Anolis sagrei: one gene and its partner. The protein of the gene in region 2 interacts with the protein of the main gene of each other region in a pairwise test. Links are inferred from orthologs where the notes say so. Each region holds a gene or a part of one and is shown on either strand. Other genes may lie near its edges.

The links. The genes of interacting proteins can lie anywhere in the genome.
Region 1: the proteins of ATN1 (region 2) and LENG8 interact in a two-hybrid assay, tested with the Homo sapiens proteins (2 studies listed by BioGRID and IntAct). The link is inferred for Anolis sagrei from reciprocal best matches to the Homo sapiens genes ATN1 and LENG8.

What each region holds. Positions count from the first base shown.
Region 1 is NC_090026.1:20,492,380-20,499,211, forward strand, and holds the start of LENG8 (leukocyte receptor cluster member 8), read right to left. Parts: upstream 3,003-6,832; 5' UTR 2,314-3,002; coding exon 2,276-2,313; intron 1-2,275.
Region 2 is NC_090022.1:198,147,414-198,155,336, reverse strand, and holds the start of ATN1 (atrophin-1), read right to left. Parts: upstream 3,007-7,923; 5' UTR 2,984-3,006; intron 2,911-2,983; exon of another isoform or gene 2,705-2,910; intron 1-2,704. UniProt on the Homo sapiens protein: Transcriptional corepressor. Recruits NR2E1 to repress transcription. Promotes vascular smooth cell (VSMC) migration and orientation. Corepressor of MTG8 transcriptional repression.

The DNA.
Region 1 (6,832 bases), on a different chromosome or scaffold from region 2:
TTCAGTTTTTTGATAACGATCTAGGAATTTTCTACTCCTGCTTAAACCAGTCAAACATGAAGCTTGTGTTAACTTAACCTCAAAGAGGCAGAACAGCTATGGCACTATGAAAACAATTTTGAATGTAAAATTCATTTCAGAATTGAGCAGCTCTAACCCCCCCCCCCCCAATTGTGGTAGAAAGCCCCCTCATCAAATATACCAATTTCGGACAGCCTCCAGCCCCACTGTGCTGAACACTCATTTCCAGTTTGAAGATTGCCAGTTGTAGCAGGTAAAAAACAGAAGTTACTGGGCTGCTGTCAGTAGCTCCCTTTCAGAAGCAGCTGAGACTATTTACTCTGCCCCACAAAATGGGGGACATCTGTTGAGAGAGATATGTGGTTGTTTTTATAATTTGTATGTGATATTGTTTTATATTCATGTACCATTGATGTTAGATATTGCACCTGGAGTGCTTTGTAAGCCGCCCTGAGTCACTTTTGGGAGATGGTGGCAGGATATAAATAAAGTTTATTATTTTATGATTTAAGGGTGCATTTATAGAATAGACATAATGCAACTAGACCCACCTTTAACTGCCGTGGCTCAATGCTATGGAATCCTGGGAGTTATGTTTTTATAAGGCATGTAACCTTCTCTGTCAAAGAATGCAGATGCCTCCACCAAATTACAAACCCCAGACTCCACAGCACTGAGCCATAGCAGTTCAAGTGGAGTGCAATAATCCTACAGCGTAGGTGGAATGGGATGGAGGAGTGGGTGGGAAAGAATGTTGGACTTTGATTGTAATTTAAATGGTATTATTTGAATCCACCCAAAAACATTTAATTGTTTTCCAACTTTTGTATCTGTCTTGAGTTTCCAAGGCCCCTTCCACACAGCTGAATAAAATCCCACATTTTCTGCTTTGAACTGGAATATATAGCAATGTGGACTCAGGGCCCTTCCAAGAGCCATATAACACAGAATATCAAGGCAGAAAATCCCACAATATCTGCCATATAACTCAGTTCAAAGCAGATAATGTACGATTTTATTCAACTGTGTGGAAGGGGCCTGGATTATCTAAGGGTCCTTCCACACAGCCATATATTCCAGAACATCAAGGCAGAAAATCCCACAATATCTGCTTCGAACTGGGTTATCTGAGTCACACCCAGGACCCTTCTACACAGCCCCATGTCCCACAAAATAGCTGCTCTAAACTGGGTTATCTGAGTCCACACTGCCATATATTCCAGTTCAAAGCAGATGTGGGATTTTATTCAGCTGTGTGGAAGGGCCCTCTGATAACCCAGTTCAAAGCACATATTGTAGGATTTTCTGCCTTGATATTCTGGGTTATATGGCTGTGTGGAAGGGCCCTAAGACAGGGTAGAAATAAAGACGATAGTAGTAACCAGGGCCTACTCAGTGGTGGCCCCTCGGCTATGGAACGCCCTTCCGAGGGAGATTAGATTGGCTTCCTCGCTCCTATCATTCCGGAAGAATCTTAAGACATGGCTATTTGAGCGGGCATTTGAAAATACGGAGTAAGGGATATAATAATGGGATAACTATATATATACACACACACACACAATATATATATATATGTGTGTGTGTGTGTGTTTGTATGTTGTGTCAAGAGCGACCTGAGAAACTGCAAGTTGCTTCTGGTGTGAGAATTGGCCGTCTGCAAGGACGTTGCCCAGGGGACACCCAGATGATTTGATGTTTTATCATCCTTGTGGGAGGCTTCTCTCATGTCCCCGCATGAGCTGGAGCTGATAGAGGGAGCTCATCTGCATCTCCCTGGATTCGAACCTGTGACCTGTCGGGCTTCAGTCCTGGGTTTAACCCACTGCACCAATAACCATATGGTGGAACTGGACATTGTTTTAATGATTATCGATTGAAATGTTTCATTATAATGTTTGAATTTATTGTTGCTGATGTTTTTTATATTGTATATCAGGCATCTTCAAACTGTGGCCCTCCAGCTGTTTGGGCCTCCAACTCCCAGAAGCCTTAGCCAGCTTGTTCAGTGGTCAGGAATTCTGGGAGTTGGAGGCCCAAACAGCTGGAGGGCCATAGTTTGAGGATGCCTGTTATATATTGTAACTGTGTCCTTGGTGGCATTGAATTCTTGCCTTGTAAACCTCCTCGAGTCGCATGAAGGCTGAGAGGGGTGGTATAGAAATGTACTAAATAAATAAATAAACAAATCAGTCCCTTCATAACTCGACCACAACCCTCCTTATACCAAATTAAAGCAAACTATCACAATCACCATTCTGGGGGAAGTTGATCGCCGATATTGGCAGCCATCCTCTGTTCGTTGGATGAGGGGGTTTTCGGCGTCGATAGGCTGCGATACCCAAGGGCTGGGAGGGCTCCAAGCACCGCTTCCCTTCGGTCTCCTTCCACAGGAGGCAGAGAGGCCAAACAAAGGAGGTTAACCGAGGCAGAGGCCCATCTCCCTGCAATGCCGCCTCGAGGGGGAAAGAAACCGCTCTTCCTTTCGTGACAAGAGCCAAGAAACACAGCAGAACCGACTCCTTCCCCTCCGAAGAGTGACTAGGGCCGCGGCGCCGAGGCCTACCTCTTCCGATCCTTCCCGACCCACCCTTTCCGAGATCTCTGCTCCCTTCCGAGTTCCCTTTAATGAAACCCCCTTCTCCTGAGCCTACGGCGGCCTGGAAGGCCTCAAGGGTGTGATCAACTCAGCAACAGCCCGCCTCCCGACCCCCTCAAACCCTCCGCGGCCTACTTACACCCGGGCCTACTCGCTCCCCTCGCCCACCCTCCCTTCCCTCAGCCTGTTGTGATCCTCCGGCCTAATAAGACCAAGCCCGCCGCTCCCTCGACTTCAGCGCCTTGCCGCGTTGCTTCAAAGGCTTTTCAGAGTCCAAACGAAAGGAAAGGAAGAACCTCTCCCGTCGCAAAATGGCGGCGGCTGACTCTCCTCCCACCTCGTTCGACTGTCTGGTTCCACAGTCAGCAGCTGACTTCCTTCCGGTGGAGGCAGGAAAGGGAAAGGCGCATGCGCGTAGGCGAAGGGTGGTGACGTCACAGAGGCTGACGCCACGTCGGCGGGATAGGTTGAGGCGTTGTATCAATCAAGATTTAGGCGGGGCCAGGTTTTGATTGACACAAAGGCTCAGCCAATCCCAGATTTCCCCCTATATTCAAAGGCCTAGCCCAGTCCTGGCCAAACTTGAGCCTTCCAAGTGTTTTGGACTTCAACTCCCACCATTCCCAACAGCCTCAGGCCCCTTTCTTTTCCCCCTCAGCCGCTCCCACCATTCCCAACAGCCTCAGGCCCCTTCCTTTTCCCCCTCAGCCGCTTAAGCGGCTGAGGGGGAAAAGGAAGGGGCCTGAGGCTGTTGGGAATGGTGGGAGTTGAAGTCCAAAACACTTAGAGGGCCAAATTTGCCCAAGCTTGGATCTTTTAGGGGTTTGGACCTCAGCACCCAGAATGGCGTCCCTCCAGCAACAGCAAGAGTATCCCTCTGGGCAGCTCAACCAGAAAACCCCAACTGGATGGCCCCCCACAAGGGTCTTCCTCCAGGGGCAAACCAAGAATGGGCAACCTGGAAGTCCCTGAATAGACTCAGAAGTGGAGTGGGCAGATCAAAAGACAGAAAACCCACACACAGAGATAGATACCTACATAAAAACTCCAACCATCACCCAAGTCAAAAAAGAAGCACCATTAAAGCCTTGGCAGACCATGCAAAAAGAATCTGCGAACCCCACCTCCTCCAAGATGAACTGAACCACCTCAACTGTGCTCTCCAGGCCAATGGATACTCCACCTCAGACATCAGAAAAGCTGCAAGACCAAGAACAAGCCATGAGAGTAAAGATGAAGATCCACCCAGAGGAAAAATGTTCTTGCCATACATCAAGGGAAACACTGACCGCATAGGGAAGCTGATGAGGAAACACAACATACAAACTATCTACAGACCCACCAAGAAAATCCAACGAATGCTACGTTCAGCAAAGGACAAGAGGGATCCTCTCACCTCTGCAGGAGTCTACCGTATACCATGCAGCTGTGGACAAGTCTACATAGTGACCACCAAACGCAGCATTGCCCAAACATGAATCAAGGAACATGAAAAGCACTGCAGACTACTTCAACCAGAGAAATTAGCCATAGCAGAGCACCTGATGAACCAACCTGGACACAGCATTTTATTTGAGAACACAGAAATGCTGGACCACTCTCACAACCACCATGTCAGACTACACAGAGGAGCCACTGAAATCCACAAGCATGTGGACAATTTCAACAGAAAGGAGGAAACCATGAAAATGAACAAAATCTGGCTACCAGTATTAAAAAAAACTCTAAAATTGCAACAGCACAACAACAGAGAGGAAGCAGGCAGGGACATCTAATTACCTCTCAACAAAAGTTGGCCCCAGGCACAGTCAGGCCATTGTATGCTAATCAAGGTGGTCAGTTGAAACATTCACACCTAGCTCCAGCAGAGAAGAGTCCTTTGTCTCACCCTGGTCATTCCACAGATATATAAATCCTTTTGCCTAGTTCCAACAGACCTCATTACCTCTGAGGATGCTTGCCATAGATGCCTCTAGACCATGGCCATATAGCCCGAAAACCCTACAACAACCCAGATCAAAAGACAACCTGGCAAAATGGCACTACCTAAAAGAATCCCATACTATGTGTTACTGTGGAGCAGAACAGACAACTCTGCATCTGTATGCTTGTCCATTGTGCCCTGCCTCATGTACAGAGGAGGAATGGTTGGAGGCTACAGACAATGCCATTGCTGTTGCCTGTTTTTGGTCAAGAAACATATTTAGCCGCCTGCAAACCTTCTATTTTTATCAGTTTTATACTAATTTATGCAATGCTTTTGAGACAAAATAAATAACCCAGAATGCCTGCTCATTGGCCAAGGCAGTTGAGGCTTCTGGGAGTTGAAGTCCAAACACATGGAGAATTGGAGTTTGTGAATACAATGCCTTGCAATCATTGGTCTTCCAGGTGTAATCATGGGAGGAGGAGTTGCTGTTGTGAACTGGCGTTAAGCATCTTTGCCATCCTTTGGGCCTGCTCAAACTCTACAGAAAACAGAGGGGAAAGGAAAGGGCTTGAGGTTGTTGGAAATTGTGGGAGTTGAAGTCTAAAACTCTCGGAGTGCTCAAGTTTGCCCAGGACTGAGCTAGGCCTTTTAATATTGGGGAAAGAATCTGGGATAAGCTGAGCCGTTGTGTCAATCAAAACCTGGTCCAGCCTAAAGCTTGACTAATAAAACATCTATATCAATAATATCCCAGGGACCTAAACAGTGTGGGTTTTCTTTCACACCTTTAAATCGACCAATTATGGCAACCTTATTGTAAGGTTTATTTGGCAAGATTTATTAAGAGGAGGTTTGCTGATCTTGCCTTCTTCGGCTGAGGCAGAGTGTGGCTCGTCCAAGGTTGCCACATACCTCTCTATGGCTGAGCAGGCGTTTGGGTCCTGCCTCTCAGAGTCCAACACTCAAAACACTGAACCACAATTTGCAAAGTGCCTTCAAGTGATTTCTGATGTATGGCAACCTTAAGGTGTTTCCTTGGCGAGACGTGGTCAGAGGAAGCATTTCCCTGGCCACCCGCTGGGGCTGAGAGACCGTGACTTGCCCAAGGTCATCCAATTGAAGGAGACGTGGTTTTAAAAGGGGATTTTCAGAGATGTTCCCAATGCCCATATGTCTTTATTTACTGCCATATTGGACTTTTTCTGCAGCCGGCCTTTGTTTACAGAAAATGCAGATTGTTTGAGAAAACGTTGCTGCAGAGAGGAAGTTACTATTCAAGGATAACAGTATATCCGGACAAAACTGGCTAGCTAGTAGCTAGTTAAAACTCCCGAGTTTCCCAGTTGCTCTGGAGTTATGTTTGAAACAGACTAACAGATAAGATTGATTCATTAAGACAGTTATGGTCAGAATTGTGCTATAATTGTGCTATAGTTGCACCATTGTTAGGTGTGCTATTACGTCAGACATAATAATAAAGAACCAATGAGCTAGCTTAGACCAATTAAATTATTTGTCTTTGGAAACCAATGAGAATGTATATTCAATTTATTGTCAAAAATGATAAAAGCTCTGAAGCCCCATTGGGAGTTGCGACAAATCCTTTGATTGCATTCCTGTGAGCATGTTTGTCAATATTATGGCCATATAATAAAGTCTTTGTAGTAAGAATCCAACTTACGGCTTCCTCCTTGCATGGCTACATTGGGCCATTGCGGGAACTCCTAAGCTTGTGCATTTGGAGTGCCCATAAATCAGTGCCCCTTCATTGTGGGCTTATATGGCCAAACAGGGATTCGAAACCTGGTCTCCAGAGTTGACAGGCAAAAGCGAACTGCTACAGCCTCTTCTAGTTTATACTAAGAGAGACATGGCTTTAAGTGGGATTTTCTAATGACTGTAAATCCAGTATGTCCTGATTTGCTAGATGCTTTCATTTGCAAAAACTTCAGTTGCTTAGAAGAAGCTGCCACAGGGAGGTGATTACTCTCTGTCTTCAAGGATAAATCCATAAGCTAGTACTCCCTAAATTTCTCATGTGCTTGAAAGTGAAACAGAGCAAGTAGATAAGACAAGCTGGCAGATGCTATGCTCAAGGTCAGAGAAATTAAAAGTGCAATTGTTGGACACCTTTTGCTATTAGAAAGAAAGAGAGCCAACAAGAATCTGTATTATCCAGCTTAGACCAATGAAATGATTAATTACTGTACACCAGGCATCCTCAAACTGTGGCCCTTCGGCTGTTTGGGCCTCCAACTCCCAGAAGCCCTAATGAGCTTGTT
Region 2 (7,923 bases):
CATCTGACTACATATCCTGTACTTGGGACTTTTATCTCCTCGTTAGCTATGTCTCTAGCGCTCAGAAACTGGTTTCACTTTAGCTGAGAGTTTCTTATCTTTTTTTCTCGGAACCTGGCAGAACACTGAAGCCACTGTTCAGCTTTTCTGTTTTAACTAATCTCCTCCCAACTATCTATTTGCTTATTTATTTGTTTACTATATTTGTATACCGCCCTTCTCAGTCCTTAGGCGACTTAACAGGTGCCAAGCTGCTTTCAAGTTCCAAATCATGGGAACTCTCTGGTAGTAGTTCAGGGAGCACACCATCATCCCCACACCCTATAGGGATATTCTCATGGGAAACTACACTTTGAACAGGGATCTCCTGGTCATTCTCTGCGTCAATATCATAGACCAAACCATTGCTATCTTGAAACTCATTGACATCACTCCCCACATCCAAAGCGCCCTGATCCTGAAACTCAATCACAGGCTGAGCTCCAACAGAACATAACAATAAACACACACCCTATCAAACTCTAAAACAGTTAAAACATTAAAAACATCTGAGCAATTGAAACACATAGAGCAATAAAACAAATTAAAAACATATAAACATATAAAATGCAGAGTCTTGATTTCATGCTTATTCATAGTCATTATCCAAAATCCATAGTCATTATTCAGGCTGTTGAGGTTGAATTCCTTAATATTTTATTCTCCAAACGCCTGCATACAAAGCCAGGTCTTTAGCTTTTTTCTAAAGAACAGGAGGGATGGGGCCTGCCTGATGTCACTGGGGAGGGAGTTCCACAGCCAAGGGGCCATCACTGAATAGACTCTGTCTCTTGTTCCCACCAGTCTCACTTGCGAATGGGGTGGGACCGAGAGCAGGGCCTCCCCAGCAGATCTTAAAGCTCTAAATTGGCAGACAGAAGCCCCATGACCAACAAAAAGTGACTGGAGATCTTTGAGGAGATGTATAGAAGTTGCAGTTCACCTACATCCAGAGCACACTATGAACCCAAACAATAATTGACCTGGACCAAACTCGGCATGCCTACCCAATATGCCCAAATTTGAATACTTGTGGGTTTTGAGGGGAATTGGCCTGGACACTTTGGAGTTGTAGGTACTGGGATTTATAGTTCACTTGCAATCAATGAGCACCGAACTCCACCAAAGATGGAAATTGAACAAACATGGTACATAGAGGCCCCCATGGAGATCTTTGGGGGAAATCCTTCTTGATTTGAGGAAGTTGTAGTTCACCTATATCCAGAGAGCACTGTGAACCCAAACACCGATGGATCTGGACCAAACTTATACCTGATAAGCTGAAATTTGATTACTGGGGGTGGGGGAACCAACCTTCCTTTCTGGGAGTTGTAGTTCACATGCAACTAGCAAAACTGTGACCTAGACCAAACTTGGCACACAGAAACCCCATGACCAACTCAACAGACTGAAGGGACTTGAGGGGACTGACTCACCATAGTGAATTGTAGTTTACCCTACAGCCAGCGAGCACACTGAACCCCATCGATGATGCACCTAGAGCAGTGTTTCTCAACCTTCCTAATGCTGTAACCCCTTAATACAGCTCCTAATGTTGTGGTGACCCTGAACCATAAAATTATTTTCATTGCTACTTTATGCAATTTTGCTACTGTTATGAATCGTAATCATGATGTAAATATCTGATATGCAGGATGTATTTTCATTTACTGGACCAAATTTGGTACAAATACCCGATATGCCCAAATTTGAATACTGATTGGTTGATTTTGTCATTTAAGAGTTGTAGTTTCTGGGATTTATAGTTCACCTACAATCAGAGAATTGTGAACTCCAACAATGATGGAATTGAACCAGATTTGGCACACAGAATTCCCCTGACCAACATAAAATACTGGAAGCATTTGATGGGCAATGACCTTGAGTTTTGGAGTTGTAGTTCAGCTACATCCAGAGAGCTGGAGGAGGGCTTTTAGTAGGAGGATTTGCCGTCTGTTTCCAAAATGGAAGAGAAGGACAAGCAGAGAGATCTTCAGCCTTCTCTGCCAAAGGGGTTCCTAAAACCATCTGAAATATGTGTTTTCTGATGGTGTTTGGTGACCCCACTGAAACCTTCCTGGTGACCCCCCCCCCCCCCGGGGTCCCAACCCCCAGGTTGAGAAACACTTATCTAGAGCAAACTTGACCAACATAACAATTTTTTAAGTACTGATTGAATTTTTCGGGATTAACCTGGCATAATGTGAGTTGTAGTTCACCCACAACCTTATGCAATTTGTACAACTAAAAATTTGACATTTTCAAATAACCCAACCAGCGCCTGGTACCCAAGTTAATACATAATATTGTAAGGGAATTGCAGACAGTTTGAAAAAGCAATGCTCCCTCTTTTGATCATATTTTCCGATCAAACACGTTTTGCAGGTTTTTGTTTCTTTAAAACCTGCAAAACCTGTTTGACCAGAGTGGAAAGTGGGACAAAAGCAATATTTGCATACATTTCCATCGTGGGAAAATAAATATATTTGAAACCATTTTGAATTCTCTTAAAAACGGTTGTCTTTCCCTAGGCTTCTATGCTTTGCACTCCCTATTATCTTGGAAGCTGGAAAAACAATTGTGCTCAAAACTGCACCAAATGTTGTTCTAGGCAGGTATTAAGTATGCGACTACAGCAATGGGAAGGCATTTCTTTGCTCTGTACCTCAGTATAGCTCAGTCTCTTCCAAGCTGATGACTATCAGCCTCTCTGCTGGCACTCTTCAGGTTTGCCCCGCAGGCCCCAAACAGGCGGCCTTCCATGTAGGGCAGCATCCCCACTTCCCCCTCAGGTTTGCAAATTCCAAAGCGAGCCATGTATTGTTAACTCTTTCACCTTTTTCTGGTGCCATGCGCAAGGCCCTGTCCTTAGGTGCCTCTGCCCTCTAGTGGAAGGCACACCAGAAAGGGCGGCTGCAAACCTGCTCCCCTCTCAACCCCTTACCTGTTCAAGGGATTGCATTTTGGAGAGAGGAGTCTGAGAAAAGGAAATAAAATGGAGTTTTTATACAAAGGTCTCTGAACTACAGCTCCCAGAAAGCTCCTTGCTATTGTCTTCACAGAAACCAGAGAGCCAAACCGACTTTCCCACTGGACTGATGTCAAGGATGTCAGGAGCCACCGTCAGACTCCATATGGGGCCATGTGCGGTAGCAGCCCAGGATGCAGAATATGTATGAAAACACAGGATCTTATACATAAATAAGCAACGAAGATGCCACACTGTGGGCTGTGCCACTCTGGGCTTCACAATGATTCTTGGAAACAAAAATGAAAGTGGTGTTGTGCGGTTTCTGGGCTGTATGGCTGTGTTCTAGTAGCATTTTCTCTTGTGGCTGGCATCTTCAGAAGATCTGAAGCCACAGATATGGTTGAAATGTCATGAGAACATGTTGCTAGAACAGGGCCCTAAACCTGTCACGTTGCCAGGGCTCTACCTTATTTAGGTAGAGATTAATCAAACTATCAGTTTTATCAAACAGTTTAATTAAAACAGCACTTACTTGCTGGCTGTTTCAATAGACCAAAATATAAAACACAAAGATAGCACGCAGCTACAGAATAAACAAAAACTGATAGCAAAAATAACTTCGTAGTCAAAAGGGTCCAGTCCAATGGTCAAATGCCAGCAACATCCACCACCAAAATGCAACAGATACTTTTCTCCCAAAGATAAGTCTCAAAGTTAGCTCCTTAAATCCAGTAATACCCAGCTGCAACCCATCTCCTGCACACCTCCACTCGTAATTTCTTTTACCTGTAAACTGTTACTTATAAACTACTCAACCCTTTAGAACCAAGACTTACATTAATCCTTCCATCACCAACTGCCAGGTCTACCACCACCAACCACCATCAACTATGGAACATATGACAAAACCACACCACACTGCAGTGATTCTGGCCGTGAAAGCCTTCGAGTAAAGCGAAAGTCTTGGAAAAATCAATCAACTAGCTAGGTTGATTCAATGAACCAGCTAGGAATTTAAGATCTTCTGGGGAGGCTCTGCTCTTGATCGTGCCTTCATTGCAGGCGTGCCCAGTGGGGACGAGAGGCAGGGTCTTCTCAATGGTGGCTCCTCGGCTATGGAACTCCCTTAGATCAGCCCCCTCTCTACTGACATTCTGAAAAAAATTTAAAACCTGGCTTTTTGAACAAGCCTTTGAAAACGCAATGTAATGGATGAATATGGAACCCAGGAAAGAATGAACATGGTATGGCTTGACAATGTTTTTGGAAAATGAGCTAATAGGAAGTTACTGGTGTTTTATGCTTTTAATGCTTTTTACAGGGTTTTTATAATGTGTGTTAATTGGGTTGTTGTAGTTTTTTTGGGCTATATGGCCATGTTCTAGAAGCATTCTCTCCTGATGCATCTATGGCAAGCATCTGCATCTATGGCAAGCATCTTCAGAGGTTGTGAAGTCTCTGTGTTAATTGTTTTAAATTTTGTTTTAATTTTTTAATGTTCACTGTGGCATCGAATCGTGCCAGTGTAAGCTGCCTTGAGTCGCCTTCGGGCTGAGAAAGGCGGGATAGAAATGCAGCAAATAAAGAAAGAAAGAGATAAACATGCCGTGGGTCACTATAGGGATGCACATCTGTACTTCTAATGTCCTGGAGCCCTTGATCTCCCAAAAATGGAAATTTGCTTGAGTGTTTTCATTGCACATTGCTGAAGATTATGCCAAACCCTTTGCTGCATGAACATATTCAGTGACTGGTCTTTCTAGCTATAGGCAGTGCTGCCTCTCCTCTTGGAGGCAATGTATAGCCACACCATTGGCAGTCATCAATTATTACCATAGCCCTCTTATAAAACAACCTCTTGTAAGTATTGTTTGCTAAAGATGGAAGAAAATGCTTGTCTCTTGCCTATGGTTTGTAAAACTTTTGGTGTCTTATTGGTGCACATAATGTCAGGTCTCCATGTTCTCTGGGCACAGGACCCCCATGAAAGGGAAGAGGATGGCCTTACCACTAGGCAGCCTCAGTCAATCACTCTATCACTCTATCACTCTATCACTCTATCTATCTATCTATCTATCTATCTATCTATCTGTCGGTCAAAGTATGCATGCGTATCTGTTTGTCTGCCTGTAGCACAAAGCTATTGCTAATTGAAGTGGCCCCTTGTAGTGTCACTGCATTGGCTTTTGCTAGATGAGTGGCAATGCTCGTGCTTATGTACTTATTTATGTCTGTATATAAGTATCCCACAACCAGCCAACTTGTGTTGGCGCTATTGTAGCAATACAAGGGAAGTTCACCACTCCTCCCTAACTAACCATAAAAGGTGCATGTTTTGTTTATCCCACAATATTTTTGTCAGCTTCTGATACAGTTAGATACTTTTTATACCTGCTCCCCAGGTTGGTTTATTTTAACAAAGTGCAAAATTAAAAAGAACAGGAGCAAAATCTGTTGGAAATTGCAACTTTCTTCAAGCCTCCACTAGTTATTTGTTATGTATATAATTCAGATTGCTTAGTGTATTGTATATGTGTGTATTGGTATGCAGTTTTTTCCTTAACTCTATGTTGTGGGAGGGGCGGCAAACCATGTGATCAGATGTGGGATTGTTCAGGACTCAGACTCCATTTTAGAAACTGTATGATTTCAGATGCCATTAGAAGCAGAAGCCATTAGACTTTCAATGTAGAAAAAGTATACCTTAGAAGACTTTAGAAAAAGACAGCCTTTTAGACTCTCAGACCAGAGAGGTGCTTTAGACTATGGACTGTGATTATAAGAAAGATGCCCTGTGTTGTCTGCACAAACTACTTCAAACTCTATTTGTAACTGGATTGATGAGCAAAATAACTGTATGCTGAATACATGAAATCTGTGAGTAAACCAACTATGTTACTTTTAAAGAAGTCTGTTTATTTTGTCTTTTGAGAGCATGATTTAAAACCAAGATGTTTTAAGGGAGAGTAGATGTTTTTGGGCAACTGAAAGAACACTTCTAAAACTCTGCTATATATCATAGAATCATAGAGTTGCAAGAGACCTCGTGGGCCATCCAGTCCAGCCTTCTGCCAAGAAGCAGGAAAATTGCATTCAAAGCACCCCTGACAGATGGCTATCCAGCCTGTGTGTGTGTTTGTATGTGCATTGGAATATCTTTGTCCCAAACAGTTCAAAGAGATGTCTAGGTATATTGGTTTAACAGCTGAGAAACCTAATTGCTTTGCATGAATGCTGATTGATATTTATCACTAAGGACTCAAGCGAGTTTTTAACTATTCTCAGGGAGATTCCTGATTTTCCCAAAATGGTGGTGAATGCCATTTTCCAAAAATATTTTTTTTTAACCCGATAGATAGATAGATAGATAGATAGATAGATAGATATAGATATAGGTTTAAAAATATTTTTGGAAAATGGCATATATATATAGTAAGTTTGCATACAAATGTGTGTGTGTGTGTGTGTATATATATATATATATACACACACACACACATTTGTATGCAAACTTACTAAGTCCTATATACATATAGGACTTAGTAAGTTTGCATGCAAATGTATCTTGTGTCCTGTAGCAGAGTTGGTGGGTAGGTGTTTAAGATGTTCATTGAAGTCAGAACTACCTATGTACTCAGTACTTGTATACATGAGTACACAGGGTAGTTCTGACTTCAATGAAGCTTATGTGTTGGTAGATGTACCTGGTGGCGAACTATATGAAAATATAGAAAGTGAAGGAATAGTGTATAGCAGTTGCATTGCCCTTTTAGGTTTCCTCACAGCTCTCCTAAATGGTAGTCTTTATGCTCTTCGTTGTCTAGACCACTGCTTCTTAAGCTATGGGTCCTGACTCCAAATAGGGTTCCATAAGAGGTTGCAAAAATTTGGCAACAGAAAAAGGGTTTTGAGCACCACCCAGTGGATGGTTTAGACATTGACATGAATCTGTTAGCAACAACAGTGCAGTGTTCACAATGGACTCTGAAGGAAATACTTCGGCTTTTCTTCATAAAAAGGTAAATCAGCCTCTTTAGCAAGCCTTGCAAAAGCTGATTTATTATCAGTAAATGTTCGATTAGTATAACTATTTTGTATACTTATATACCTGTGATCATGTACAAATTTCTCTGATAGAAAGGGATCATGAGCAGAAGAACTTTAAGAAGCTCTGTCCTAGACCAGGTTTTGCAAATATTTTTAGTTGAGGCTTGGATTTTTCCCTATGAAGGTCACCTCTGGCTTTATTTTCCCTGTTCCTTGTTTCTCTAGTGTTTTATTTTAGCATTACTACAGGCTTTTTGTCATACTCTTACCTTATTCTTAGGAGCCCCCAGTGGCACAATGGGTTAAACCCCTGTGACAGCAGGACTAAAGACCAACAGGTTGGAGGTTCGTGGATGAGCTTCCTCTGTCAGCTCCAGCTCTCCATGTGGGGACATGAGAGAAGCCTCCCACAAGGATGGTAAAACATCAAAACATCCAGGTGTCCCCTGGGCAATGTTCTTGCAGATGGCCAATTATCTCACAACAGAGGCGACTTGCAGTTTCTCAAGTTGCTCCTGATGTGAAAACAAAAAAAAATTGAGGGGCTCTCCACATTTCCCATAGCTACTTTGTTGCCAGGACTTACAGTTCAATAATTGTGTGGCCTGGCCAACAAAACACTGCTAAAATCCTGCAAATCTCTGGGTAAAACAGGCAAAACAAATGTCGCTGTTCTAGAAGAAGCAAAGACTACCAGCATGGAAGTGATGATCCTCTGCCATCAACTTTACTGGACTGGCCACTTTGTCTTTTCGTATTTACGATGTCATAGGCATCCCTGAAACCTGTCACTGGAACGCAGACATTGAGTTGAGGGCTCTAACCTCTCTCACAGAAACAAAACAAAGGGGAGAGGAGAGGGAGAA